Linked DNA regions of Arabidopsis thaliana. The protein of the gene in region 3 purifies or fractionates together with the protein of the main gene of each other region. This does not show direct contact. Each region holds a gene or a part of one and is shown on either strand. Other genes may lie near its edges.

Region 1 (7,810 bases), on a different chromosome or scaffold from region 3:
TATAGTAGACAAGATAGGAGTTATGTAAACGATCAAGACGAGTATGATGTTTTGTTTTCTGGTGTAGCCAGTGGAAGAACTCTTGTCTCAGGCTCTCCTCTGGTGACTTTCGGAGACAATAACCAAGAAACTGGTTTTGTTATCGAGAGTCCAAGAATTGGAGATCAGGTAAAAAAGACTACAAACTTTAAAGCTGTCTCTTGTGTGTCCTTTTTCAGTGAAGTTTCATTGTGGTGCTTCTTTGATTTCAGATTCAATGTTCTGGTGTTGAAAATGGCAACATTGAGTCAGTTTGGTTCCATCAGCGGAACAGAAGCTCCGAGTTTAATGAATCTGTGTGCTCTAGGACCAACCGCTCAAGAAGTTCAAGACGAAACACCAAGAAGAGACAATCAGGAGACATTTGTTCAAAACATCACAGGCATGGTTTCGCACAAGATCCATTCACTGAGTTACTAGATAACAGACAGCAGCTGCTACAGTACAGTGAAACCTCGTCATCATCATCAATATATGATACCTCTGGTACTACAACTCCAACCAACACAACAGAAGATATCTGTGAGAAACCAAAAACAGATTTGGATTCTGAGGCCAAACTTAAGACAGTGGAGACTGAACTAGACCCACGTCTGGGACGGAGCAAGGGTGTGTTAAAATTGGGATTGAGTGTCTTCTCTATTGCAGTTGCAGGGTTTGCTTCTTTCATGTGGATGTATCTCCAGGATGATATGATGCCTCCTCATCTTGTTCCGACTTAAAAAGTCTAAGGGATGAACATTAAAAAGCTTAGAACTTACATAGGTTCAAATTCTAGCTTAGTTCTCTTGTTCTTTTGTCAATGTGTGGATCATGTTCAAATACTAGTTTGTTTGTTTTCTTTTTCCTAATGAATTTGTCACTTGTTCAAAAGTCGAAACAACTGTTAACCAGACATATTTACATAGGTTCAATTTCTAGTTAGGTTCTCTTGTTCTTTTGTCAATGTGTGGATCATTTTCTTTTCCCCGAATGATTTTGTCACTTGTTCAAAAGTCGATTCAAATAGAAACCAAATTGACATTAATACAGAGTTAAGCCAAAAATCCTAGTAATAATTTCACTAGCTAAACCGGAAAATCTGAGTGTTGAGACGAGCCAAAACAAGGCAAAACAGAAAAAGAAGGCAAAACACTTAAGTTGGTGGTGCGTTACAAAGATCACAAATCTTAAACTGAGACATACCAAAATTTTCTCAGACTTTCAGGAACAGAAGGTTACAAAAGAAGAGAGTTTCACTACGAGGTATTTGTTCTCCGGCTTAGTCTTCCTCCGCACCAGCACCTGCAGCTTGAGCTGCATCTCTCCTTGGTCCACCTGCTGGTTTCGCCATTATAATCTGCACATTTTACATAAATTTTGAGTATAAACATGCATGTTTTAGTAGATGAGATCAATCAGTGGAACTGAATATTGAATCTAAGAGTTTTCACGAACAAGGGACTTAATCCTGGAAGATAATGCATTCACCGAACAATATCTTTTTACTTCATGTGATGAATCAACACTTTACAATATAATAAAAAATTGCTCCGTTCACCAAAGATTAAATCAAGTCAGTTTGTGCATACCTGGTCTACACGAAGTACAGTGCATGCAGCATCTGAAGCATATTTAAGGGCAAATAACCTGCACAGAGACTTAAGCGTCTTAGTTATCAATTAAAGTGAATGGTAATCTTTGTAACCAGTCAGAAAATTCTACTCCAGTTTTTATATGTTCAAGAACAACTGCTAAGCAAGTATAGAGACGTCTGATAGAAATATTTGATGGCAAAAAGACAGTCTGAAACTTACTTGGTTGCAAAAAGATCCCATACTTTTGTCTCTGAAACATCTTTACAAGCACCTTCCTCTAAGTCAATGCCTAGTTTTGTGTTTCCAGATCCATGTCCAGTGTACAGAGCGGCTATGATTTCCATCGCATTGAGGCCAGCATTATCTGCAAGGGTCTTGGGTACAAACTCAAAACTCTCAGCGTATTTGGTGATGGCATATTTGTCCAACCTGAAATTTCAAAAGCGAATCCTAAGTTCAGTCCCCAAACCATAGACAGTTTTGCTTTAAAAGCTAGCCTCACATGTTTAATTTTTGAAAAAATGAAGTAAAAGAAAGTTACCCTATTTCTGCATTGGCGTATTCCTTCAACCTTTGAGCCAACTCTATTTCAGTCGCTGCAGCCCCGGGAACAATACGGCTGTCTCTGCACATGGCCTGAAAATAAAATTGAAGTAATAACAGTCACAAATTAATGAATTATACGATATAGATGGTACAAATGAAGCTAGATATTACCTTGTATGTGTTAACTCCATCATCAACAGCTCTCTCAAGGTCGTCCAAAATGCTATCTGTGCTTCCACGCAAGACCACAGTGGAGATGGAGTTACCACCTTCCTCGTTTCTTGCAATCGTGACCTAAAAGAAGACCGAGAATTGTCTATGATTAATGAAAGACAAAAATAATTAACCAAAAATATTGGAATTGACTTCGGAGTACTTACTGTCACACCACCAATTTCCTCAACCGATATAGAATCAACATATCCAAGATCTTCAGGGCTTGGCCGGCTAAGCTTCAACTGTTTGATAATTAAAGGATTAAAAGCTAGGATAAAACCACCCTTAGATACTCATTCAGATAGCCAATTAATAACACTTACATGGGCGACAGCCCCCGCTGTACGGCAAAAACGCCTCAGTTCAAACTTTGAGCTGATTTTCAATACCATTATCCTGCCAAGAAAAAATGGGGTATCAGAATGCAGACAATAACAATAGCTAAGACGAGTATAACATGATATGGTCTACACATACTTGTAGCGCTCACAGAAATGCAATGCCATTTCTCCAATTGATCCTCCACTAACAATGACTTTGGCTCCTGATTCCGCAACTGCTTTAATCAACTCCTCAACTTTAGCTTCCTCTGTCTTTGCATAGTTCTCTAGCTACAAATCCAATATAAAAAGAGAAATTTGTCACAATAACGATTACAAATACACAACCATCTTTGAGGAAGCCATAATCGTAATTTTGAAATTTTAGAAAGACAGTAACAAATCTAACCTGCTCAGCACTATGAATGAGGACAGTTCCTTTGGTCTCTGTTGCAGTGGTATCAACGCCACCAGCAAATACAGCAACCTGAAGAAAGCATAACAAATTGATTTAGAGACATTAAGCTATCAAAAACAGAAAAGACAAACCCACAAAGCTATATTTCATAGGGGACCCAAACATTGATCAATTCAGACAAAAAAAACTTTGTCAAAAGCATAAACAAAAGAAAGAGATCTCACCTTCGCTTTCTCCATTCGCTTAATGCTACCAACAGCATCACTTTTCAAGACCATACCACGGACTATGCAAGAATTGTGCAAGCCTCCTCCCAAAAGCTTGGAAACACGAACATTATCCACATTGAAATTCGTTGGATTCTTTGGGCAGACTTGAATACATGCCTAGAAATAATATGAACCCATCAAGTAAAATCTAAATCTGCAATAAACTTGAATAAATAACAATCTGAACAACGAAACAGGAAACAAATAGATAGCAAGGAATATCTTACGTCAGTAACTAAAGAGCAAATTATTTCCTCTTGCCCAAACTGCTTGCTTGCAACAGCTGCTCTCATCCGAGAAATAACTTCATCCTTGTTACGTACATCCATGGTCTCAGAACCAGTCTCAACCAGTTGTTCCAGTATTTCAACAGCCTGCATAATCAAAATCCAATAGCATTCGTCAAATACTCAAGACAAACAAATTGAAAAGCACAAAACAGTAATTCAGGTATTCACCAACCTTGCTGACAGCTTTAGTATATCCACTAATGATCTCACTCGGATGAAGTCCCATCCTGATAAGCTCCTCAGCGTTTTGAAGAAGTTCACCAGCAAAGGAGATTGTCAGATTAGCTCCATCTCCGATTTCTTCTTGCTGAGCCTTAGCAGCTAAAACCAGAAGTTTAGCAGCCGGGTGCTGAATCTCGAGCTCATTCACTATAGTAGCAGCGTCATTTGTGACAAACAGTTTGTCCAAATGATTGATAACCATTTTATTCATTCCTGAAACATTATAAACAGAAGAACTCAGTTCTAATCCGAATCTGAATCCCTAGAAAAAGACTTCACCTTTACAGTAACAGATCAAGCTTGCTTAAACTATACACAAGCGAGATCCTACTTACAACACTCAAGTAAAAGTAAAACGAAACGGAGAAAACGAGATTCATCATTTCAGTATTAGATCAAATCCCAATCAGAGAAACATTACGAACCATTGGGACCGAGAGAGGTGCGAGTAATGGTGGAGAGCTCCTTGCAAGCTTCAATGTTCTTAATGACGGCTTCGTCGAGACCAGAGAGATGCCTGTAACCTTCTTTAAGCATCGATTGAATACCATATGGCTGCATCGACATACCCACCATTTTCTAAGGTAACGATCTATAAGCTTCGAAGTTGGGTCACTCGAAACAATAGAGCAAAAACCCTAAAAGCGAAGAAGAAGAAGCTCTGTGAGATTTTCGAAGAAGTTTAGAGAGAAGGTTTTCTGTGAGTAAAAGTGGCCGAGATTGCCCTAGAAAACTTTCGAGGTTTTAAAATGGGAGTTCACAACGGTGTCGTTTTAAATTTTAAGGGGATGGGGGCCAAAAATTGAGATCTTAAATCTTTAGGGGTGAAAGTTGTATTATATGAAAGTTTAGGGACGAATAGAGAACACCATTCCTTCTGGTTTTTGTGCTAAACGGTGTCGTTTTAACTTTTATGGTGATGTGGGCCAAAATGTGAGATTTTTGACATTTACGGATGAGAGTCTTATTATATGAAAGTTTAGGGACTAAAAGAGAAATAACTTGAAAATAACATGATATGAACTTTGAAGGAAAGCCTGAGTTTTTGTTTTATCAGATGTGCGTCCCCTTAAGAGGAACAAAAGACAATGTAAGTTTTGTTTAGATAAGCAGAGAAAACACACAGATTAAAGATGTGTATTAGGTTTTTAGAAATCCCAACCCTGAAGAAAAAACATAATTCAAAACTAAGTTCTTTTAATTAAGTCATCTTCTTCTTTCCTTGCATTGATTCCATCTTTCAACTCAAGTTAATTGTTTCCCCCGAAGCTCCATCAAGGGCCTAATATAACAAAACAATCAAAATGAAACAATCCCAGAGACTGTATCAAGAGGGGTGGTTAATGTGCTTTAGATGCAGCAGGGTTTAAGGAATTGTACCTGTTTCTTTTGCTTGATCTTCTTGTCTCTGATGATCTTCTGCCTTGTCTCATAGAACTTGTAATCATCAAGTATACATGTCTTGCTCATATACTCCTTGAAGATCTTTATGATCTTGGTCCCATGCTCCAGATTCACCTGTACCAAAACCATCACCGTACAGTTTAAAAGCCTGACTAACAGCCATAATCATTATTTATTAGAATTCAATTAGGCTTCAAACATGTCCAAGAAAGGGTTTAGGGGAAGTTCAACGGACCTCTTGAGTGTCTCTGCTATTAGTGACAGGCTTGTTCTCGTTATTCGCCAGGGTAATGTGTCTTAAGAGACTGTTTGGTATGTCTTTGATGATATGCCACTTCACAGGGAAACAACCAATCCATTTATCTTGCTGCCAATACTCCATTGTCTTGTTGAAATCAACAGGGCCTACCATCTCCGCAAGACCAACAAATTGCCCACTTGCATTCACCTGTAGATAAAACCGATTACAGTGAGTTACTTAATGTAAATCTGAAAGGATATTGCACAAGACGTGAAGTAACCTCATACTGACCGAGAACAGAAGATACACAGGGCATTCTTGGGAGTTTTCTTTGGCTTCATAATATGCAGCATTCAACTTCTTGTTGCCAGTTGGTGTGCTCGACCATGCACCATACTTAATACAGTTATGAACATCATCTTCGCTGTATGACTTGATCACAAAGAATTTTGCTTTCACAAATGATTCAGGGAAATTCTCCCCATTGTAGCGCTGGAGATCTACTGCTGAAACGTCTTGCTTCATTGCATCTAGCATTGAAGAGTTAAGAACTTGTGGATTCTTGAAATCACTACTCCTTGGTCCTCGACATAGCTCATTAAGCCTATCTGCTTTCTCATCACTGTAACCACGCCCATGATTGAAGCTTCTGGTCTTTCTATAACCATCAACGGGATACCATCCTCGCCCAAGTTTCCAGGAATCATAACCAAAAGTTCCATATGCATGACCAGAGTCAATTACATTCCCGTAAAGTCCATACAATCCATGGTTGGAATACAAATGATCATTATATCCCAATTGGTCAAAACTTGGTACTTCTTGTGAGCTGTGTGGATTCTGTTAAATAAAACAGTTGTAGCCAGTAATTAGACAAAAAAAAAATCCCAAGTCCCAGCAGAGATGACGAAGAGAACAAAACACACATTCTCTTGACTATATGAAGACAGAAAAGAGGCAGAGAGGTCATGTGAAGTAACCAACATACCATGAGATGTGAAAAGGAACTGTGATTGCTGTTGCGGTCATAACCAAACCTCGGATCAGGGTAGCCACCAGAAGGATAGTTTGCTGGGATGTAACCCCACGGGTATGAACCAATCGAGTCTCCACCATTTAGCAGATTGCCAGCATTCATGTTTGGCCTTCTTTCACTTCCATGAGAAGATGCACCATAAGGTGCATGACCATACGGATGCTGAAAAGAACCCTTCTCAGAAAACAGTCAGTTAACAAAAAAAAAACTCACAGTATATCAAATTCACATTAAATGAGCAGCAAGACCTCTCCACAGAACAGTTTGTAGTTAAAGATCCTTCGACACAACACAATTTAAGTTCCAAAAACTTTAAATTTTCAAAAAGAAGTAGTAATTAAGTACCTTAGTAAAGTTCATAGGAACTTCATTTGCATCTGAACCTAAAGACAAGTCCTGAAACAAATCTGCTGTATCTGCAGCGATTATATACAAGAGCCCAGTTAATATTTTAAAATGACAAAGCCTCAAACTCCAATTGCACAGTCTAAACAAGGCAAATTACTGGTGAAATTCAACCCATAAGCAGATAAAAAAACACTAACTTGCAGAAAAACACAAAATTTCATCTAGCATCCCATAAAGAGGTTTGTAGAGAACTCTAGACACCAATCAATCCTATCAGAAACAGAAAACCTACGACAGATACTGATAACACTAGTCGCTAAACCCTAAACCCAAGGGTAGAAATCAATCGCAAGTTATAAGATGAGCACAAAATGATAACTTCCGATGCCAAAAAAGTTTTAATCTTTGAGCTAAAAGCAACGTACCCAGAAGAGGGAAGCTAGTGACGAGACGATCAGAAGAAGCGGCTCCAGCCATATCGAGAGAAGGCAAAAAAAAGGGATAAGCTTTAAGAGAAGGAAAACCCTAGAAGGTTGGGCAGATGAAAGCAAACGCAACCTCGAAAAACCCAGAGAGAGAGAGCGCTTTTGGTGTGTGGGGGGTTTTAGAAAGTTCCGTTCTTTTTTGTTTTCTTCGTCTTCCTTCCCCTTTAACGTAAGGCGGTGATCTTTAACAAAGAACAGAAATGCCCCCAAATGGGTCAAATTTACGAGGAATTCTAAGCGACAAATTTCGATTTTTTTGCTCCTTTAACCCAAAAAGATAAGGCTCCTCTTCTTAATGACGATTTTTCGTCACACGAGAAGATTCTGAAAATTTGACGTTGATTGCTTTTATTAGTGAGACCTCTTTTTCTTCTTAACTTAAAATCAATATAGCGAATC
Region 2 (5,791 bases), on a different chromosome or scaffold from region 3:
GGCGAAGCTCACTTTAACATCCTTCACATGTTTCTTTGGTCTGATTCAGTTTCTGGTTATTGCTCTCTTTGTGGAAACTGATCTAAATAATTGGATCATCGTCTCTTGGGAAGAGCTCTTCACCATCCTATACGCCGTAAGCTCCCTCCCTCTGTCTCTCTCTCTTCCTTTTCCTTGATCTGAATCAATGGAAATTAGCTAAATGAATGTTCCTTTGGCCGTGTTTACAGGGAATAATAGCGTCAGGGTTGGTGGTTTATCTTCAAACATGGTGTATCTACAAAAGCGGTCCAGTTTTTGTCGCTGTTTTCCAGCCTCTCCAGACACTTCTTGTTGCTGCGATGGCGTTTCTTATTCTTGGTGATCAGTTATACTCGGGAGGGTAAGCGCATTGAAAACGGGATGTATCGGGTTTTGTTTCTCTCGATTACTCGATCTAATAGAATCTTTTTGGCTTTGCAGGATTGTTGGTGCAGTGTTTATAATGCTAGGGCTCTACTTAGTTCTTTGGGGCAAAAACGAAGAAAGAAAACTGGCTCTTGAAGAGAGTCAACAAGATCCAGAGTCACTGACCAAACATCTACTTGAGGCACAACACAAGAAGAGTAATTCTGAATCTGAAGTGTAAAAGTGCTGCAAACACAACGCATTACTTCTCTGTACATACACATACAAGAACTTGGCCAACACACAGGCTCCTCAAGTGGGTCTCTCATACAATTGATATCCTAGTCGTTTACTTTTGAGTTGTAATCAAAATTGGGTTGCAATTTATTTATGAATAAAAATGAAAAGATGGTAACATTAAATCAAAGTTGACAATAGAGAAGCAAATGTTCTGATCCGGTCTGGTTGGAGACAGACCAATGACCTGGAGAACTCATGTTCATGCAACTGTGTACTGTCTTAATCTTTCATACAACGAATCTATAACATTTGTGACCCAGTCTATGATTAACCAGATAGGCAACTGATTTTGTGACCCATCATGCATCAAATATTTGAGTCCCAGTAATTAAAGTTCTGTTTCTACTCCTACCATTTGGACTTTCATAACCAAAACTAAATCAACATATGAAACAAAAAAAACTGAGAGATCTTGATATCACAAGTCACTAGAAAGAAATACAATCGCACTAAACCACAAATAAAGCCACTTAACTGCAATAGCACATGTTGCAAGAAAAGGGAGTCTAAGTTCAAAACCATTGTGCAAGCACAACACATGAAAAAAACGAAACAAAAGCTTAGATAGAGCAATAGAAGTGTTCTGGGACCTGTTTTGAAAGAAACTACCACACTACCTCACAGTTACGATGTCATCAATCTTCAAAATCATCCTAACGCATTCAGTTGCTAAAGTGATCGCACTGGTACTCACAAGCAGAGGCTGAACAACATTTTCCTCCAAGATGTTAGTGATCTGTCCTTTCCTCACATTGATCCCTGCGTTGATTTCCCCTTGAGCATGCTTGTTCCTGAGTTCAGTCACAATGGCGATAGGGTTTAACCCTGCATTCTCGGCTAGTGTGTAAGGAATAACTTCGAGAGCTTCAGCAAAAGACTTCACACAGTAACCTTCCATCCCATGTAGCACCTTAGCCCAAGCACCGAGCTGCCTTGAGAGCTCAATCTCTGGTGCACCACCTCCTGCAATCAAAAACCTTTTGCTCACTAGACACCTAACCACACACAAGGCATCATGTAAACTCCTTTCAGCTTCATCTAGAACAAGCTGGTTGGAGCCACGAACTAGAACAGATGTAGTTCTCCCCATGTCCTTGATACCAGTGATCTTCAAAATCTTTCCATCTCCAAGGGAGGCCTCCTCAACAAGATCAGCATGGCCAAGCTTCTCAGCTCTGAAATGCTCAATATTGGCGATAGGCAAGCAGTTCAATGTCTTGGTGACAAATTCAATCTCATCTCTCTCAACATCCTTAATAACCATAATCTTAGCTTTGGCCAAATAGTGAAGAGATAGATCAGTCACTGCATCCCTCAAAATACTCTTCTGAATCAACAACACATTGCAACCAGTTGCTTTGATCTTCTTAATCATCCCCAATATGTAATTCCTCTCTTCTTTCAAGATCCTATCCATCTGAGTATAATCAGAGACAACAATACTCTGCTCGATATCAGTCTTAGGAGGTGAGATCTGGAACTGAATCACAGCAATCTTAGCATTCTCCACACGAGTCGGTCCACCAGCAGCACGGCTAACCTTCTTATCAAAAACCAAACCTTTCACAGTATGTGTATCATCCACAGTCCCACCAAGCTTCTTAACAATCTTAATATCACGCAAATCCACAATCTCAGGCTTTTCCGGATCTATAACAGAGAGAACCGCATCTACAGCTAAAGGAGCAAGCAATGTAGAGTACTGACTAACAACCTTACTGTTAAGCGATGTGCTCGCAGATTTCACAAGTGAATCTCTATCAGTGAGCTCCACTGGAACAGCCATGGCAGTCAAAATATCGATCGCCTTACCACACGCCTTGTGAAGCGAATCTGAAATGACAGTAGGGTGGATCCCGTTTGTGAGAAGCGATTGACACTCCTTGAGAAGCGCACCGGCGATTACTACGACAGTTGTGGTACCATCTCCGGCGGCTGAATCTTGAGATTTGGAAAGCTCGACTAACATCTTCGCCGCTGGCTGCAAAACCTCCATCTTGTTAAGGATCGTAGCTCCATCGTTAGTAATGATTACCTCTCCGTTCGCCGTGGAAATCATCTTGTCCATTCCTTTCGGTCCCAAACTAGTACGGACGGCGTCAGAGACTGCTCGAGCAGAGTTGATGTTCGCGAATCGGATATCTTCTCTCCGCTTGTTGTCTACGAACGATTCAGCTTTAGATCCACGGGGCTTCGAAGCCATTGGTGCCGCTACCGCCGCCATTTTTTTACTACGAGTGAGAGAGCTTGAGATCTCGACGGAATTGATCTCGAACGGAGAAATTTGCAGAAAACCCTAAATGGAAGTGTGACAAGAGTGTTCTGGAAATGAAAGAGAGAATAGAGAATTTGAAAAAAGCCCTAGGGTATACGCTATTGTTTGATAAATGGGCCTGTTTTGAGTTTTTATGAGTTAGCCCAAAAGGCCCAGTTATTGGTTCAGACTTCAGACTTGAGTGTTTGTTAAGGGGACGGTTAAACAAATTTGAGAAAAATCTAAACTAGACCAAATGATCTGGTAATTATTTCGTTCCCAAGATTACAGTACACGAATGCTTGAAAGTTACTTATTTACACTGACTGATTATGCAATAGCTCAAGAGCTTTGACAAGAACCAGCTTGAACCGGTTTATATCAACGCTAACGTTCTGCTGTACCAAATAAACCGACTTGAAAGTTCCCCACCCGCGTTTTGCAACGGCCAATGGATCTCTAACGAACTCGTGATCGCGTCCGTACTGCTTCACCAGTGTGCTCTCCTCCGCCGTGATCTTGTACTCCAAATACCTCAGATTCATGCCCTTCGACGGATACTCGAAATCCATCTTTGCAAGCCACTCGAATCCACCGATCGGAAGAATCTGAATCACGATCGCGTTATCAGGTAAGAACACCATGTTCGTCATCCCCGCGCCGTGAACGCCGAGCATCACGTCACAGGAGTTCACAGTTATTGCGAAACTCGCGATTTCCGTGTTTGCTTCCGCCACCACGACTTTAAATCCGATTTGTCTCGCCGCTCTAGCGATTTCACCCGCGTTCACAAACGCTCGCGATCTGCTCCTAGACAAAATCAGAATCCGTGGCTTCCGCCTCGTAGTCACGGCGGAGTTTCTCAATGAGTATGTGTCTCTGAGGAATTTCCGGAAATCGGACATTGAATACTCCGAATTCGAAGGATCAGTCGTTAGCTCTTTGTCATAATCACGGTGGCGATTGAGACCAACGATGACGCTGCTGAAACAATGCGTTTCGTCTTCTTCGTCGATGTAAATCACTTCGTAATTAGAGAGTTTCCTCACTAATTCCTTAAATTTGTTGATCCACAAAAGATTCTTGTTCGTCACGAGGAACTGAACTTCACCGCTGAATCTACGCGCCGTCGTGTACAGAGGAATCACGATGTCCGTGAAATCATGGAAATTGTTCAACGAGAAGCCTCCGAGAGAGAAAAGAATCGCCGGAACGCTGTGATTCCTAACGCAGCGTGATAAACTAGCGTTTTGTACTAATTTCACCGTCCATTCTCTCACGCGTTTCATGGCAGGAACTTGGTCTTTTCTCGCATAAGGTCTCATATACCACGTGGAATTCCCGGAAAACGCAAACGTGACCGCCGCAAGAACAGTTGCGGATTTACCATGGATTCTTACGTCGCCGCTTACATCGCAAAACTCTTTGCTTCCTAGTGTGTTACAGTGACAGATAGGTTTCTCCATTTTATTGCACTCTGAAGATTCAGTCAGGACAAAATCAAAAGAACAAACTGTATCATACTATACAGAAAATGACTAAAAACCATAACAAGACAATTGTAGAGAAAATTCTGAAGTATATTGACCTGAAATAACTTCTTCTTTGGAGATTGTAGTGTTGGTAGTTAATTCTGTTATACTCAGCATCCTTAGACCAGTGCCAACTGATAACTGTAACTCCACTGAAGAAAGAAAGAAAGAGATACACGTTAAAATGATTGTTTTTGCGTTATCTGGCTTTTCGGCAAAACGTGGTAAGAGACTTACCGATTGGTAAAGGGCTGAGATAAGGTTTAACGACAGTGCAAAGAGTGAGGACCAAGAGAAGAGAGGCAATGAAAGCTCCACAGCAAAGTCTCTTCTGATCAGTTTTGCTAAAACTACGAGCAAGTACTGTATCGTAAAGAATATCCTTCTTTGTCATCTCTTGACTCTTAAGTTACACAAAACTTTTCTTTCTTCTTCAGCAAGAAACTCTATAATCAGAGTTTACTGGCTAATGTAGAGATATGAAGGTCAAGCTAGGTGGGAGAGCGAGAGGATTATGTGAGGTATTTAAGAATTTGTTTGACGATATTATCTGTGTTTTTTTTTTCACTATAACGTTTTAGTTATTGAGAATGAATATAAAGGGTACTGGTTTAAAGAAGAGAACTAGCTAGAGCATGTTCAAAGTGGTTCGATCTTATATTGGTAGAGTTTAAGGAAGAAGGAGAAGTCTTGGGAGTTTTTTCTTTATTTGCTTCATATTGAGTTAGTGATGAGTCATTTAGCTCCATATCAAAATTACAGAAATCATTAAAACATGCAATTTAATTTGCAACCAAAATAAGAGAAGGAAAGAAAGCATGACAAAAATATCCGTTAAATGGGGGAAAAGCTATTCAAAACAGATTAAAGCTGACCAAAAAACTGTAAAAAGTTACATAAAATTTAGTGTAAGCCACATAATTCTTTTTCTAATCGATATCGGTTTACTCTGGTTAGTCGATTGAGCCTCATCAGAATAATAACTGACAGTTCAGAAATTTCGATAAATATAATTGTTTTATGATAACAATATTACGATCCAACATTCCAACTACAAGAATTTACAGTATATGGATGCGGTAAATATATGATTTACATCGACTGCCTCTAGGCTCTCTACAATAACTCAAGAGCTTTGACAAGAACCGGCTTGAACCGGTTTATATCAATACTCACGTTCTGTTGTACCAAATAAACCGATTTGAACATTTCCCACCCGTGTTTTGCAACCGCCGATGGATCTCTCACGATTTCGTGGTCGCGTCCGTACTTCTTCACCAGCGTGCTCTCCTCCACCGCGATCTTGTACTCCAAGTAC
Region 3 (6,575 bases):
ATAAATCATATTCCTTTGAAGGACCACAACTCCATCTCCATGATCAAAGGACCACTCGATTTTCAATAATCTCCTTGAGTTTTATCCCACTAGTCTATATGAGATAGACAACATTATAGTGAATATGGTTATAGAATCTGGATGGTTTATATCAATTTAGACATCATGTAGAAGTACATCTAAACTGTTGGTTTAAGGTCGGCTGGTAGTGTGCACCCATGATTTGGCAACATCTAAACTGGTTTGGTTAATAGATCATGGCAAGTTATTACTCCCCTAACCTCATTTCCTCTTCCTGTAATATATATTGATCTTGTATTTAAAAACATAGAAAGAAGTTAGATTTTGACAGTTTGAAAACTGAGGAAAGTGTTGAGAAAGAGAAGAAAAACGTTTTTCAAGAGATAGTTTCAAGAAATCAACTACAAACAGGCATTTATCAAAGGTGACAAGTCATTGATCTTCGTTCGTGATTTCATCCGACCTTTTGATTACCAAAGTTCCTGAATTTTTTTATTACTAAACTGGGTTAAGGTATGTGTTTCGGTTTAAATTTCTTACATATACAAATGTGAAATTAAGTTTGTAACCGAAATTCTGTTTCTCATTCAAAAGACGTGATTGCATAAATTATCATCATTTATTTGCTTTGCAAACAAGAAATATTAATTTTGTGGGGATAGATTCATGTTAATGTGGGAAGACAGAGAAATATCGACGTCAAATCCTTAGACCCATATGTCTCAATAACTTCCAAAACGTTATTCAATTCCGATATAAAATTGGGACCATAAACTGATCATAGAATCATTCATCTCTATATATAAACACAAAAAGGTTCAACAAAAGATAATTCTATATAACCAAAGAAAAAAAACTCTCTTCCAAAAATGGCAATTAGGGTTTCCCACAAGTCTTTCCTCGTCGCACTTCTTCTCATACTCTTCATTTCCTCTCCTACTCAAGGTAAATTTATAGCTAATATATATATACACACAAGCGCGCTCACCTCACGAGTTTCTAGCTATATCAAGTATAATTTGAATGAATCTTCTTCTTGTTTTTTGGTTGAATATCAAAATATATTACCCAATAATGAGTTCTTGATATATAAACATTTTGATTTTTTAGCACGAAGCTTACGAGAAGTAGTAAGGAATAGAACGCTATTGGTTGTGGAGAAGAGTCAAGAGAGTCGGAAAATAAGGCACGAAGGTGGAGGAAGTGATGTTGATGGATTGATGGATATGGATTATAATTCTGCGAACAAGAAAAGACCGATACACAATCGCTAATAAACACACATGAACTTATCGAATTCTTGTGAGATATCCTGAGATCCAAAGATATCCCGAGATTTTATCTTTTACTAAACATAAATTATAAGAAGTGAGAATGTATTTTATATAAGAAAAGAAGTGAGAATGTAAACTATTATTATTTATAGGAACATATAAATATAAACGACTTTGTATGCATGTGTACAGTATTATCTCGAGGGAAAACAGTTCTATACAATAATCATAGCTTGTGTGTGCTAGCTTTATGTATGGATTGCATCATGGTTTTCTGTTTGTGAAATAAAACTCTATAATATATTATGTGTATATAGAAACCCACAAATATCTTCTTTAACTCTGTTGTAGTATTAGTTCCAATAAAATAAAATTACACCTCAAAAGAGTATTTGCTGATTTTATATATCGAATTCAAACCTACGGAAGCTCCCATCCCATGAAGGTGTTGTGGATATTTGATATCAAAATATGCATATACCAAAATACAATCAAATAGATTATAATTTAAAGTAATAGGACTTTGGAAAAACTAGGCAACATACCAAATAATATATGGGATCAAAGTTTTCGACAAATATCGATTGGTTTTCAGTCTCCAAACTTCTTTCATTTAGAAGGATAGAACTTAAATTCATTAGTGTCTTAATTTTGTAGTTCCACAAACAATAATCCTTGTCTTAACATATAAATTAGTCTTATAAGTCAGTAAAATCATGGTGAAATTTCTCTACTGCAAGTGGAAGGATTCAAAAGAAAGAAAAATAAATCCGAGCAATTGATGGATTTTCTGTTACTGTTAGAGAGTTGCCGAGGCTCGAGCGATAATGGGCCTTAAAAAACTTACTCAAATGGGCCATATGGACCTTAGATTTTCATTTATTACAAATGGATCCTATAGTTTCGTTCATAACATATTACCCAACAGCTATTTGGGTATGACCCTACAGGCGACAGGTAGGTTTATTCAATATTTACCTAATAGACCCAATAGATACTTTTATTACATATGTACACCAAAAGTCTTACACTATTTCGTTAAAAGTCCCAATAAATAAAACGTTATAATTAGGCCCAAATAGTCTGAGCTAAGCTTTTCTTGTTCAAGGGGTTGGGGTTTCGACGCTAACATTCTCTCTCTCAGTGAACCTTTAGAAGTTAAATCTGTTTCATCACCGGAAAGTTTCACTAACTCTTCTTCTCTCTCTCGGAGTATTGATTCCCGGCGTTTAGCAATGGCAAGTCTCCGATTTCACAGATCTGATTTTCAACTCTCTCTCTCTCTTTTCTCTTCCGTTCGAATTTTGGTTTGTCAAATTCGATGTCGTGATTTGATTGCAGGAAGAAAGTAGACAACTCGAATCGTCGATTGATCGGCTGCTGAACGAAGAGAAACAGATGAGGCTCGCAGAAAATGTCGCCGGAACTAGAAAAGCAGCTACCGAGATTCTTAAGCTTTGTTTCGAAGCTAAGGATTGGAAACTTCTCAACGAACAGATTTTGAATCTCTCGAAGAAACGTGGTCAGCTTAAGCAGGTCACACTACTTTCTATCGATTTAGCTTTTGAAACCTGCTTGTGGTAGTTTAAGGTTTTCGATTACTTGGAACGGTTTCTACTGAGTTCTGAATCTTACTGAGAAATTGAATGAAGAACTGAGTGAGATATTGAAAGTGGTTAGGTCTCTTGATTTGCAGGCTGTACAATCCATGGTGCAACAAGCAATGCAGTATATTGATCAGACACTAGACATAGAAACTCGGATTGAGCTTATTAAGACTCTAAACAATGTAGCTGCTGGAAAGGTGCGGATTAGAGTTGGCTATTGTTGTTGTTGTTGTAGTTATATTTGCTTGAATCTTGATCACTCCGTGCAAGTTTTTTTCTTGATGAATATGTGTGTGTGAGCATGTGTAGATATATGTCGAAATCGAGAGAGCTCGTTTGACCAAGATGCTTGCTAAGATTAAGGAAGAACAAGGTTTGATTGCTGAAGCTGCGGATCTCATGCAAGAAGTTGCTGTAAGCTTTTCTTCCTCTACTTTCCAACTTTCGTGGAAATCGTTTTTTATTTATTTTATAGTTTATCAATGTGCATTGATTGTGATTATGAATTATAGGTGGAGACATTTGGTGCTATGGCAAAAACTGAGAAAATTGCTTTCATTCTTGAACAAGTAAGACTTTCTGTTATCTTTTCATATTTCTTAAGCTTTGTGCTTTGTGCTTTGTTCTTGTTTGTATGTTGTGATTCTAATTATTGGTGTGTAAACTTCTGAAGGTCCGCTTGTGTTTGGATCAAAAAGATTTTGTCCGTGCACAAATTTTATCTAGGAAGATCAACCCAAGAGTGTTTGATGCAGATACCACGAAGGAGAAAAAGAAGCCTAAGGAAGGTGAAAACATGGTAGAGGAGGCTCCGGCTGATATACCTACATTGTTGGTGCTAAAACGGATTTACTATGAGCTAATGATTCGGTAAGTCCTTGATTTGGTTTAATACATTCTTCGCCAGTTATTGGTGTCAAAATATTTGAATATTATTCTCCTCTGAATTTTGATTTCCCTTTACTTCTGTGATCTTTATAGTAAAAATATAATGTGCTGATTCTGTTGTGTAGGTATTATTCTCACAACAATGAGTACATTGAGATATGCCGTAGCTACAAGGCGATATATGATATCCCTTCTGTAAAGGAAAACCCAGAACAATGGATTCCAGTAAGTCTCGTATTGTTGTTTGGATGATCTTGTGGTAGTCTACGTTCTGTAATTAGCTTGGATTAACTTTTCTCCCTTGATCCTCTAAATATAGGTCCTGAGAAAGATTTGCTGGTTTTTGGCCTTGGCACCACATGATCCAATGCAATCGAGCCTACTCAATGCAACCTTGGAAGATAAAAAGTTATCAGAGATTCCTGATTTCAAGTAATTCTCTTTATCTTGATAAAAATTTGGGTTTTCACTACTCTTCCCCTCGTTCCCATCTGAAACAGATTCTCAATCCCTATGTTTATATTCTGTTGCAGGATGCTTCTAAAACAGATTGTTACAATGGAGGTGATTCAGTGGACATCTCTCTGGAATAAATACAAGGACGAGTTTGAGAATGAGAAAAACATGATTGGAGGCTCTTTGGGTGACAAAGCTGGTGAAGATCTCAAACTAAGAATAATCGAACACGTAAAGACTCTTTGAGCTCTAATCTATCTTTACCTCTTTGATTGCATCAATTGTTACTGAAGAGTCTTAACTTTACAAATTCTTCACATCTTCTGCAGAATATTCTCGTTGTCTCAAAGTACTACTCAAGGATTACCTTTAAGAGACTTGCAGAACTTTTATGCCTAACCACTGAGGTAAATATAGTTTCAAAATACTCTTAAGTGTACCAGTACATGTTTAAATCTCTTCTTACCGTTTCATTATATTTCAGGAAGCAGAGAAGCATCTATCTGAAATGGTTGTGTCCAAAGCCTTGATAGCAAAAATCGACAGACCATCAGGAATAATCTGCTTCCAGATTGTTAAAGACAGCAACGAAATCCTCAACTCGTGGGCAACAAACTTGGAGAAGCTTTTGGATCTTGTTGAAAAGAGTTGTCACCAAATTCACAAAGAAACAATGGTTCATAAAGTTGCACTAAGAGCTTGAGAACCCGGTCTAGCCACACACATCGGTGGAAAGAATCTTTCAGGCTCTCGTTCTAACATAATCATTTGAGTTTTCTTTCTCTGCTTGGTTCGAACACATTTTTTTTGTGTTCTTTAGGAGACCTTGCAAGATTATATACAAAACTCTCTTTTTTTTCCTTTCTCCATGTGGTCTTTTTAATGTTTGTTACAATGAAACGAAATTATAATGCAAAAATATAATAAATTAAGAAAAAAAGCATGAGAGGATGAAAGCAGAACAATACAAACAACCTAAACCCTATAATATTTGGAAAAATAACTCTATAACATATAATCATTTTCCTGTTTTCTATTACTCTATAGTGAAACAAATAAAATGAAGCAAGTCATCAGGAGGATGGACTATTATTGTAGTTATTACTAGTCTTGTCTGATGGCCATTGTATATCCTGGAGATAACCGGTTTCGCTAGCTGATTCTGGTGGCGGCTGAACAGCAGCCGGGGAAAACAGAGGACGAGAATGAGATGATGATGACGACGTAGATTGCATCATTGAACCTCCAGTGTGACCGAAACGCAACGGAAACGACATTTGATCGTATAAATCCAAAGATTGTTGATGATGTTGCTGAAACTGTTGTTGTTGACGAGCCATTTCAGAGTAACTCAAGTTGTATGATTGCATCAACGGCTGCGAATGAACGCTTTGATTCGAAGCAGGTCTTATGGGCAAAAGGGTAGTCGTTGAACCCGAGTTCCTTGACTGGGTCGGTCTTTGAGCAGCGGTTTGGTGCACAGGTTGTGCTTCGGTTGAAGCAGGTCTAACGAGTTTGACGTTTTCAGGGAAGTTGAGTTTGGCTTTGTTGCCTCTAAACCGAAGTGCAGCTTCGTCGTAAGCTCTTGCTGCTGATTCAGCATTGTCGAACGTACCGAGCCAAACTCTAGCTGCTTTAAATGGATCTCGAATCTCAGCCGCCCACTTTCCCCATGGTCTTTGTCTAACTCCTCTGTATCTTCGCCGAGGTTGGTCCCCACTAAACGACGACGTTTCGCTACTAGCAGTTGCCGTAGTTGTATACTCGTATGTTGGGCCCGGACCTGACATGTTACTCGAAGCTTCTCTCACTGCAAATAAACAAACAAACATGTAAAATTTCACACTTTTGTTGTCACTCGTGAATTAACACTTTCTTACATAAGAAAAAGAATCGATAATATTAATGTCTCCAATAAAGATATTATAAAGTTTTTTTTTTAAGAGCGAGTATGAGAAAGTGATGAGGCAAATGGGTGACAAAAGGAATGAACAAGTAGAAAAAAAAAGGAAGTGGAAAACGACTCTTGATGCAATTGGAGGGAGATAAATTCTTTTGGCATATCATCATCATCATCATCATTTTCTTAATTAAATATCCAACCTTTTTACAACAATTCTAAAGTATATGTCTTAAGATAATCAAGTACAGTTTCGTTATTATATTTATTTTTGTCAACACTTCGAAATATTTATTTACATCTTTACGCTAATTACTATTTTTTATTCCTCATTTTTCTTTATATTTAAATTATTATAAAGTATATCTAACTTCGCCATATTTTAGAAAACGATAAAAGAAAAGAATAAAAAAACTAAATATAAGACAT
Region 4 (9,152 bases), on a different chromosome or scaffold from region 3:
TTTTTCGAATAAAACACTTGTTTTTAAAAAATTTATGTGTAAATATAATTTCGTTAACAAAATTCTCATTGATTATTTTTTACCTCTAAAAAACTAAAAACCACCAAAATGGGTATAAATGTAATTTGGCACATCGTAAAGTGTCATAAGAGCGACCCGTTCAAGTCATAATACTTGGTCAACACGCAAAATCGTGAGCTAGCGCCGGGAAAACCCGACCTAAGTGATGAACTCTCTCAAGTCATGACCGCTTCCTCGTCAAATAACTATAAATATTCCCTCTCATTTATTTGATTTCCCACATAACCATATCTCTTAATTTTCTTTGATATCAAACAAAAAAAAGGCTTCTGTTTTATTTTATTACTTGTCGGTACAACATAAAGAAGAGAAAGTAAAATACGATGAGAAGAGTTAGTTGGTCTACTGTTTTGATTGTGGTTGTGATGGTGTCGTTGTTTTTCGTAGAACACGTGGTGGTTCCGGCTGCGGCGGGGAGGGTTCTTACTGAAAAATCGGGAGATGGAAGTGCGACTATGACGGTGGAGAAGATGAAATCGACGGTGGATTCTTGGTTTCAGCGTTTGGCGTCGGGTCCAAGTCCAAGAGGTCGCGGCCATTAAATTTTCCTTTTTTACTTTTTTTTTCCTGGCCGGAGGAGATTAATTAATCTCGATATACCCCATATGTATACCAGAACAAACGGTGAAAACTGTATTCCATTCATTTATTTCATTATTTGTTTTTTTTTTCTTTAGGCAAAGTTCATATAGTTAGTGACAGAAACTAAAACCCTCAATATACATGTACATGATTTTTGCTTTTGCTGGTTGCTAATTTTAATAAGATTTTATACTTCTGGTTTATGTTTGGGAACGAACTTATTCAAAAAAAAAAAAAAAAGATACACCGAGGAAACAAGTGAGTCGTGCACGCCATCTATGTAAAATTGTAAATATGTAGCCGGGCTAGCTGGGTCACCCTTTCAACATTTTAATAATATTACATAGTTTTGGCCAAATCCGGAAACAACGAGAGGAGCCTTTGCATGTCACAAATTGAAGTTGGAGTGCGTACAAACCAAGAACTTGAAGTTCCAGGGCAGCAAACCAAAGAGCCCATAATCAATAAGCCAAGTTTATAGAAACGTCGAACGAGTTGATTTGAAGGAGTTGCAGGTTAAGAGAATTGGATTTGGAAACTTATCCAGCTTTTAGAATGCGATATTAAAGTAGTGCACAAGAAGTTCCTATATATTGCAATGAAGCTATTTTTTCTTTTAAAAGGAGAGATTGTGAACCATTTCCTGGGAACAGACGGGAATAAACTAAAAAACTTTTGACAACCGTAGTGAAAGTATTCAAAGGCTCTCTCTCTTTCTTCAAATGCTTGCAACTTTGGATTTACTCCTCTCTGTAGTCTGGATTTTCCTTCAATATGACGAAACCTTCTAATATGGGCGACAACGGAATGTACCTGTGACCCAAAAAGAAGCAGAGTTTTTTTAGATTCCAATATGTAAAACAGAGTTTTATTTCGAGTAGGATAATGTAACAAGGGGATTAGAGGAACAACATACTTCTCGGTTGCGAGTTCAGCTCTCTCCCCAGCAGCAAGGAGAACAGGTGTTGAGTGCGTTTGGAACCCAGTGATTGTCTTAGGTCGGCCTGCCTGTCCAACCACATCAACCGCTTGTCCTACCCGCACTGGCACCGAGATGGGCTTCAGGCTCTGATCCACCGTCAGCATCATCCTTGGCTACACACTCAAACCGTATTGTGTTAGTAGATAAACTTAGTTCATTAAAAAAAAAGTCATCAGACAGAAAATTGCACTCACCTGCATCGCCAAAACAAGGAAGTAGAGCACATAGTGATATTTCCCCAGTATAATGGATTTCATGTCAAGGCATGCATGCAACAATGTCACTATACCAGCAAGTGCGGTTCTAGGTACAAAATACAACACCCAAGTTTAGGATTCACAAGGTGGAGCTTTGAAAGCAAAGTATACATAAAATATATGTTATAACTTACGGCGATAGCAAGAGCCGTTCGGAGTGGAAAGGATTGAGAGTTAAGAGACCCTTTCCCATATGCACAAACCCTTGAGCGATGCGCACCTGCATTGTGACTTAAGACAATGAGAACAAGCCTATCATAAGTAGAAACCGTGTTTATTCCATGAAAACTTAAAAAGAAATCATAAAACGTTACACAGAAAAGAAGGCTGGCATCCTTGTAATAATAGCTGGAGAGATTTCTAAGCATGCCAGCTATCCTTGCATTGTTGGTTCCAGCGCCTATCAATCCAAGGGAGATAATTGCTGCCTGTAGGAATCAGATGAAACATCAGTCCAACGCTGCATAGCAAGTCAAAGAAATAACTACTCTACCTCAACCATGAGTGGCGAAAAGATAACTCACCATTGCAACTTCTGAATCTGTGTCATGGCTTAGTCTGCTCAAAGTGTCCATAACAGTCACCTGGAATTATAAAAAAGTTAGAGAGTAACAACAGTATTCTTAAGCAGAAAAGTAACTGCACGCCGCCGAAAACTAGATATGCAAAAATAATACTCACCTTTGGGTTTGATATACATAGGAGACCAAGAGCCAAAGGCACTGCACGTCGAATGTTCTGCTCTCCATACTGTAGTACGCGCTCCAAAGAACGGATCTCCATATCCAGACCCAATTCCTCAGACATAGCAACCATAGCTAATCCAATCACAGCTGGACCCTGGTGGATATCACCTTTCACCAGATGCTCTCCACACTGAGCCAGAAGGTCTTGGACCTGAATAGTTTGAATAGTTTGAAGAGTCAGACTAAACTAGAAAGAAGTGAATAATCTAATTCAACCACTAGCACACTTGATCAGATACCTTAAGGACATTCCCGGTTCCAGCATATGCACATGAAAGAAGTGTCATATCACAATACTTTCTGATTTTCTCATTGAACGTCTTTGAAACTTCTGCAGTAGCCTCCACACTTTCCTGCTCGATATTGGAACAAGTTAAAACTAATAATCGGGGAAATAACGATCAAGTACACGAACAAGAAAAATAATCAAGTATGACTGGCTGCCCACCTGTTTGCCAAGGTACAAAAGACCAAGTCCAAGAGGCAAGAAACGAGTGAGGGCTTCACCCAGCTCTGCCTCGCTCCGATCCATCAAAGCAAATATAATAGATTGTGCAACCTCTTCGTTACACGAACCAACATAAATCATCCCCAAACTAAGTGCAGCAAATGCAATCACATCGAGAGGTGCGTTGGCATCATTTAGTATTGGAGACAACCTGATTTTTATCTATCCAAACAGTGAGCATGTTATTGTCTCGTCAACAGAACATTCAACTTAGCACCATAGGTAAGAAGATAACATGTATTCACCTGATCATTTTGGGAACCCGCATATGCAATCCCGAGACCCATAATAGCACCAATTCGGACAGATGAATCCTCATTGTCAATATAACCTGAAAGAAGGGCAAATGCCTGAGAAAGAGAGCTGAGTGAGAATGAATGGCGAAAAATTGTGACACAGAGGTTCCCATATTAAAAAAAAAAAAAAACTCACAGGGTCACAATCATTCTTAATGCCACAATTAACAATCCCAACTCCCAGCAGAGCTCCAGCAACGACGGGATTATCGTTACTATGGAAATATTTGTCGAGATGACCTAGTCCGGTCTCCACATCCCACAATTGAATCATACCCTAGAATTGTTGTTAAAACAAGTTCGTGTTACAATTTTACTTCCAAAATAAAAACATAGCTAATCAATTTATCAAGTAAGATGAGGTATACCAGACTAGCAACTGCACTGGTCTTTCCATGTTCTTTATTTTTGAAGAGCCAGTTTCCAGCCGATCCACTGGTTGAGTCAGATGGTACTGTCATTAATTTGTCCTGCAATAAGGAAATATATGAAAAGGGCAGCTTCCAAAGTTCTTCTTATGTTGCACATTAAGATCCTGTAATCATACCTGGCCGAATCCAGCATTTACAAATGCATTCACAAAAGTCGCAGATAGATTTTGCCTAGCTGAGTCCACACTTGGACCAGAGCTAGCCCTACCATCAAGCAAGTGAGCCTGCAAATTTCAGTGGACAGGTAAGAGGCACTTCCATAAACATATCCTGTAACCAAATAAACCAGTAACAGACATAATATTCAATTAAACTGATATACCTTGTAGATGTCTTCAGGCGTCTTGGCCTCCATGACCTCAATATCCCTAGCAAGCGTCAGATATCCTTCACTCAACTTAGAGTTGTTAACAATATCCTGTAGCGCTTCTTTGTCTTCGTCATTTGCAACCATCTCTTGGTCAAGCTCAAAGGTCATACCCTGCATGGAGAAATAACAAGAGAAAAATAAATATAAGAAAATAAAAAATCAGGTACTGCACCTTTATGCTAATTTAAATTATTAAGAACTTACATGACGTGCAATCATGTAGCAGAACTGTTTCTTTTTTACCAGATCGGTACATGAGGTAAATACTTGCTTCACATACTGCACAAAGGAAAAATATATATCATAAGAAAAATACATAAGTTAAAGAAGAGCTTTTCCCAGCTGCTCCCATGTTGCAGAAAGAGGATATTAAGTTTTATATGAAGATTAGAACCATACCTGCATGTTATCAAGAAATAATGCAATTTGCAGCGCGTTTGGATATTCTGCAAACTTAATGTAGATCATGTAAGCAATATCTAGAACCAACATGTCATCTGGTCCTGGAAGATACCTGGAAAAAAACATACAATATCAACGGGACTGATAATGTGCAAGATAACCAAGCAAAGCTCATGAGAGCTTGTCTCATATGAAAATAACATAATTAAGGGTGAAACGCCAGTCGAATGAATAAGCTAAACATATTGAAATTACTTTGCTGCACTCGTGAGATAGTTGCACGTCCTCCTGAAATTTGTATTGTCAACATGCTCAAGTAAGAGATCAAGATCCTCAACATCCATTAAAAGGTCAACAGCTTCGGTTTCGGCATTATGCTGCAAAGAACAAAAGGGAATCCTTCAAAAATGTGAACAAAACAAGAGGCGCAAATTTCACGCCTATCAATGAAACTTATATTAATATACAATGGACCCCTTGTTATTACAAGAAAAGTAAGAATGACAAGGATCTCACCTTCATGTGAAAAGAAACAATTTGCTGCACAAGATCCATTAAGTCTTCAATAGAGGACTCTTCACCCTGATATAACAAAAAGAATGAGCATTATAACCATATTCAGTAACGAGCCCATTGTCATAATATTCATTAACAAACCATAATATCCATGACGTTGCCAGAATATGAGTGAAACTCCTCGAGCTAAAGAACATTGCCAAAGACCAAATTGTTTACTAACCTGACGTATTGTATACTCTTTTGCAATCTCTCCAGCCAAATTCCTGACATACTCGTGACCCCACGATCCGATGTCACTCTCTGATCCATTCAACCTATAGTTTAAGCTTTCCTGAAAGAGTATTGCATAACAAAGGATCAGCAACAAATAGCTTAAGTCAAATTCTACCAAGAACCACAAAACACAAATCTGGTAAGGCATATCATAAGAGGAAAACAAAAGGGAATCTAGTTAAATGAATGTGAAGCAAATAGCAATAGGCAAGAAACTCCTACAACAGTAGCAAGAAAGCATACCCTTTCACCTTCAGCAGACATGGTCAGTGCCAGGACAGAAAGTATATCAGCCAACATTTTCTGCAAAAACGAGTGCGATCTTATAATCCAGACTCAGTAGAACGACTAAGACGGTGTTGATGAGAAATGACTTAAAATGTTTGAAATCGTACTTTGAGATCAGACTCTGCCATTTTTGCATGAAATTCTTTAAGAACTCCATAATGAGGGCGGAGAAACTTGAGGGGTTTTGGAACTGATGTCATGGAGCTTGTTGAGTCACGAATTTCCTTCCTACATACCAAAAGAGATCGATCAAGATTAGACTATGAAAACAGTGAAAGCACTAAAAGCAGCAAAAGAAGTGTCATAAGCCCATTAAAGAAACTCCAATAGAAAATTATCAGAATATTTGCATCTAATCAAATCAAGGATGGGTTTAAGAGATACAAAAACTACCTCATGCTTTCAAGAGCAATCTTCTGTAACTCAGGATTGGGGTCCTGAACTCTCTCAACATAGAGCTCCAGATTCTGCTTTAGTTGCAAGTCCTCTTCAGACTACAATAACATCATATGCAAATTGAGTCAGCTGCCAATCAAACCAGCTAAAACCATAGCCATAGTACAAAAGATTCCTATTAATTTAACTCCATGTGACTTAAACCCTAACAAGAATTGTATCTTCCCAGAACGAGTTATAATGTGGATTTAACCAACTTCTTAACCTCGCTTTCTAAATAGCAATGCGACATTCACAATATATCAGCTAAACCGTACATCTCGGAAAATCTACAGCTTAATCGTGAGTTTTTTCCGATCTCCCTGGATTCTTTCTAACTCAGCTAAGCACGATTCCAACTAATAATCGAAATCGATATAAAGAAAACTCACCAGATCCTCTTCCTTTTTATCATCTTTCTTCTTGGAATCCTTAGAAGGAATCTTCGTCGTAGCTTCGTCCCGCTTCGCACCACCGCCAACACTGTTCGGATCCGGAACTGGAGCCATTGTAAGTCAGACTATCACCTGATCAAATCAACGAATCCAAACAATGAGTATCGAAATTCGTAAAACTCGGAAGAATCGAGCAGCTTCTATCTTATGAGCTCTCGCGTAAACCCTAAGTCTCTCTGGAATGGCTCGTTAGAGAAGAACTATGCTTTTCTTCAGGAACTGTAGCAAAAAGGTTCAACTGTAAAAAATAAATACTATCAGATAAAAAAAAGTACTTATACGGAAGAAGATTACCCCTCGATCAAGAATTCCATTGTGGGCTCAGCCCATAATAAATTGGGCTATTCATTGGGCCATAGTATTCTACTATGGTCTCTATATAAAACACCTTGTCTTTGGCAAACATCTCTATATATAATCAACACTTTAAAATTTATTTTATTTGGGCGATATAGCCAATCACAAAATAAAGGACTCCAAAAACATCTATTTTATCGGATTTACATTTGATCAATTTAAATTCGAAGCAACTAATTCGATCGGATTTAAATTCGAACAACATAATAATAGCAACATTTATATAAATACGTTACATGTCTTAGTCGACATGTTCTTTTATGGTAAAGTTAGCAATATTAGTCGAACTCAAACATATACCTTCACATAATGAAAGAGGAAATAACATTTAATTGTTTTTATAATTAATAATATAAATGGGAGAATCTGAATTACTTGAGCGATAATAAAAGAAGAAAAGGAAAAGAAATGGAGAAGGGAAGAGGCAAGATGGCAAAGCTGTGATTTAAAACACCGTCACCTCCCCGTCAACGGAGACAAACAAAGATCGTGTTTTCTCGAACCTTCCACGAGATATACTAAGCCAAAGAAGAAGAAGAGACCTGAGACGAACAAGAAATCCAGAAATTACCAATTCCTTTTTTTTGTTTAATCGAATTCAGGAAAAGTGAAGAAACGAAAGAGAGAAGACAAAGAAGAAGAAGGTGAGATGGGAGTTGATTATTACAAGGTTTTACAGGTTGATAGAAGCGCTAACGACGATGACCTTAAGAAAGCTTATAGAAAACTCGCTATGAAATGGCATCCTGATAAGAACCCTAACAACAAAAAAGACGCTGAGGCTAAGTTCAAGCAGATCTCTGAGGCCTACGATGTATGTGTTTGATTCCTCCACTGCTTTTGCTTTATTGAAATCGTCCCTAAAGTTTTGATTTTTATTTCTATTGAGAAATTTTCATTCCCTTGATACTGTCGGTGGTCACGAACTTGTTTCTGATTTTTGATATGAGATGCAATTAGTCTGATTTCACGATTTGATGTTGTGTTGGTTCGTGGGGTTTTTAGATTTCGTGTCCCTGAGTAATTCGAATCATAGTATATAGTAAAAGATGATTGCTTTATATTTGGGCAAGCTAGGTTATCTCCAAAGCTCTTAATTTGTGCTTTCTTTGCTGATCTTCTGAGTCATGATTTATCCGTTTTCTTAACTCTGTGATTGATTATTGAGAACCTCTTAGGCACTCTGTACTTGTCAATGTGTAGCTTAGGATTATGAGGAACATACTAAGATTGTTTGATTTGACTCAGGCTTTTATGAGGCTAATGTTGGTTTTTGTTGTGAGATGATTAGGTTCTTAGCGATCCTCAAAAGAGAGCTGTATATGATCAATACGGTGAGGAAGGGTTAAAAGGGAATGTGCCACCTCCCAATGCTGCTACTAGTGGAGCATCCTACTTCTCAACAGGAGATGGATCTTCGTCTTTCAGATTCAACCCGAGAAGTGCAGATGATATATTCGCTGAGTTTTTCGGGTTCTCGACCCCGTTTGGTGGCGGTGGTGGTGGCACTGGAGGGCAGAGATTCGCTAGCCGCATGTTTGGTGATGATATGTATGCCTCGTTTGGTGAAGGAGCAGGTGGAGGAGGAGCTATGCATCATCATCACCATCATCATCATCACGCTGCAGCTAGGAAAGTGGCTCCTATCGAGAACAAGTTGCCTTGTAGCCTTGAAGATCTCTACAAAGGAACCACCAAGAAGATGAAGATCTCCAGGGAGATTGTAGATGTCAGCGGGTAAGTGATTGAACTCAGATACCATTTCGATCACACTTATAACATTTTGTTATTAGGCTTATCTACTAGTCAACCTAGAGCATGGTTTTAGAAATATACAACCTCCCAAGTCCCAAGTATGATGAACATATATGAAACAAAGTTTCAAGCTTTTAGATTCTGCAACATTCCCCAGCTTCCATATGGTTAATTGTTGATTTGAGCTGACCCTAGTTGTTGTCTTAACAATATCTAATATCTGTCTTCTGGTAAATGCAGTAAGGCAATGCAAGTGGAAGAGATTCTAACGATTGGAGTGAAACCCGGGTGGAAGAAAGGCACAAAGATCACATTCCCAGAGAAAGGCAATGAGCATCCAGGTGTGATTCCAGCGGATCTAGTCTTCATCATTGACGAGAAACCCCATCCAGTGTTTACCCGTGAGGGCAACGAC

Evidence for each region.
Region 1: the proteins of RPN5B (region 3) and AT3G03960 fractionate together in Arabidopsis thaliana (co-fractionation; one large-scale study listed by BioGRID). This does not show direct contact.
Region 2: the proteins of RPN5B (region 3) and AT3G18190 fractionate together in Arabidopsis thaliana (co-fractionation; one large-scale study listed by BioGRID). This does not show direct contact.
Region 4: the proteins of RPN5B (region 3) and RPN1B fractionate together in Arabidopsis thaliana (co-fractionation; one large-scale study listed by BioGRID). This does not show direct contact.

The regions. Positions count from the first base shown.
Region 1 is NC_003074.8:1,021,095-1,028,904, reverse strand, and holds AT3G03960 (TCP-1/cpn60 chaperonin family protein), read right to left. Parts: upstream 4,762-7,810; 5' UTR 4,474-4,761; coding exon 4,323-4,473; intron 4,111-4,322; coding exon 3,848-4,110; intron 3,760-3,847; coding exon 3,613-3,759; intron 3,503-3,612; coding exon 3,341-3,502; intron 3,186-3,340; coding exon 3,108-3,185; intron 2,990-3,107; coding exon 2,856-2,989; intron 2,775-2,855; coding exon 2,702-2,774; intron 2,621-2,701; coding exon 2,543-2,620; intron 2,457-2,542; coding exon 2,334-2,456; intron 2,253-2,333; coding exon 2,158-2,252; intron 2,046-2,157; coding exon 1,836-2,045; intron 1,669-1,835; coding exon 1,611-1,668; intron 1,379-1,610; coding exon 1,301-1,378; 3' UTR 1,014-1,300; downstream 1-1,013. Other genes in the region: AT3G03970 (ARM repeat superfamily protein), read left to right, coding at 1-168, 252-761; ECT1 (evolutionarily conserved C-terminal region 1), read right to left, coding at 5,138-5,179, 5,278-5,415, 5,537-5,749, 5,834-6,382, 6,531-6,752, 6,924-6,994, 7,352-7,403. UniProt on the Arabidopsis thaliana protein: Molecular chaperone; assists the folding of proteins upon ATP hydrolysis. Known to play a role, in vitro, in the folding of actin and tubulin. Contributes to stem cell maintenance through its impact on transcription factors trafficking through plasmodesmata.
Region 2 is NC_003074.8:6,229,346-6,235,136, reverse strand, and holds AT3G18190 (TCP-1/cpn60 chaperonin family protein), read right to left. Parts: upstream 3,030-5,791; 5' UTR 2,912-3,029; coding exon 1,301-2,911; 3' UTR 954-1,300; downstream 1-953. Other genes in the region: UMAMIT4 (nodulin MtN21 /EamA-like transporter family protein), read left to right, coding at 1-136, 231-382, 463-628; AT3G18180 (Glycosyltransferase family 61 protein), read right to left, coding at 3,259-4,418, 4,530-4,625, 4,711-4,867; AT3G18170 (Glycosyltransferase family 61 protein), read right to left, coding at 5,590-5,791. UniProt on the Arabidopsis thaliana protein: Molecular chaperone; assists the folding of proteins upon ATP hydrolysis. Known to play a role, in vitro, in the folding of actin and tubulin.
Region 3 is NC_003076.8:25,892,401-25,898,975, reverse strand, and holds RPN5B (regulatory particle non-ATPase subunit 5B), read left to right. Parts: upstream 1-2,389; 5' UTR 2,390-2,530; coding exon 2,531-2,533; coding exon of another isoform or gene 2,534-2,537; exon of another isoform or gene 2,538-2,636; coding exon 2,637-2,831; intron 2,832-2,991; coding exon 2,992-3,099; intron 3,100-3,211; coding exon 3,212-3,316; intron 3,317-3,414; coding exon 3,415-3,471; intron 3,472-3,575; coding exon 3,576-3,772; intron 3,773-3,915; coding exon 3,916-4,015; intron 4,016-4,109; coding exon 4,110-4,222; intron 4,223-4,323; coding exon 4,324-4,477; intron 4,478-4,575; coding exon 4,576-4,653; intron 4,654-4,730; coding exon 4,731-4,949; 3' UTR 4,950-5,196; downstream 5,197-6,575. Other genes in the region: RGF9 (root meristem growth factor), read left to right, coding at 891-966, 1,132-1,295; ABR1 (Integrase-type DNA-binding superfamily protein), read right to left, coding at 5,320-6,056. UniProt on the Arabidopsis thaliana protein: Acts as a regulatory subunit of the 26 proteasome which is involved in the ATP-dependent degradation of ubiquitinated proteins. Acts redundantly with RPN5A.
Region 4 is NC_003075.7:14,065,679-14,074,830, forward strand, and holds RPN1B (26S proteasome regulatory subunit S2 1B), read right to left. Parts: upstream 6,905-9,152; 5' UTR 6,680-6,904; coding exon 6,563-6,679; intron 6,230-6,562; coding exon 6,129-6,229; intron 5,964-6,128; coding exon 5,843-5,963; intron 5,751-5,842; coding exon 5,691-5,750; intron 5,506-5,690; coding exon 5,395-5,505; intron 5,238-5,394; coding exon 5,172-5,237; intron 5,033-5,171; coding exon 4,911-5,032; intron 4,768-4,910; coding exon 4,653-4,767; intron 4,533-4,652; coding exon 4,458-4,532; intron 4,365-4,457; coding exon 4,206-4,364; intron 4,108-4,205; coding exon 4,000-4,107; intron 3,923-3,999; coding exon 3,821-3,922; intron 3,730-3,820; coding exon 3,589-3,729; intron 3,507-3,588; coding exon 3,402-3,506; intron 3,319-3,401; coding exon 3,097-3,318; intron 3,002-3,096; coding exon 2,888-3,001; intron 2,800-2,887; coding exon 2,584-2,799; intron 2,487-2,583; coding exon 2,427-2,486; intron 2,331-2,426; coding exon 2,217-2,330; intron 2,123-2,216; and 9 more. Other genes in the region: AT4G28460 (uncharacterized protein), read left to right, coding at 405-623; AT4G28480 (DNAJ heat shock family protein), read left to right, coding at 7,632-7,796, 8,274-8,719, 8,978-9,152. UniProt on the Arabidopsis thaliana protein: Acts as a regulatory subunit of the 26 proteasome which is involved in the ATP-dependent degradation of ubiquitinated proteins.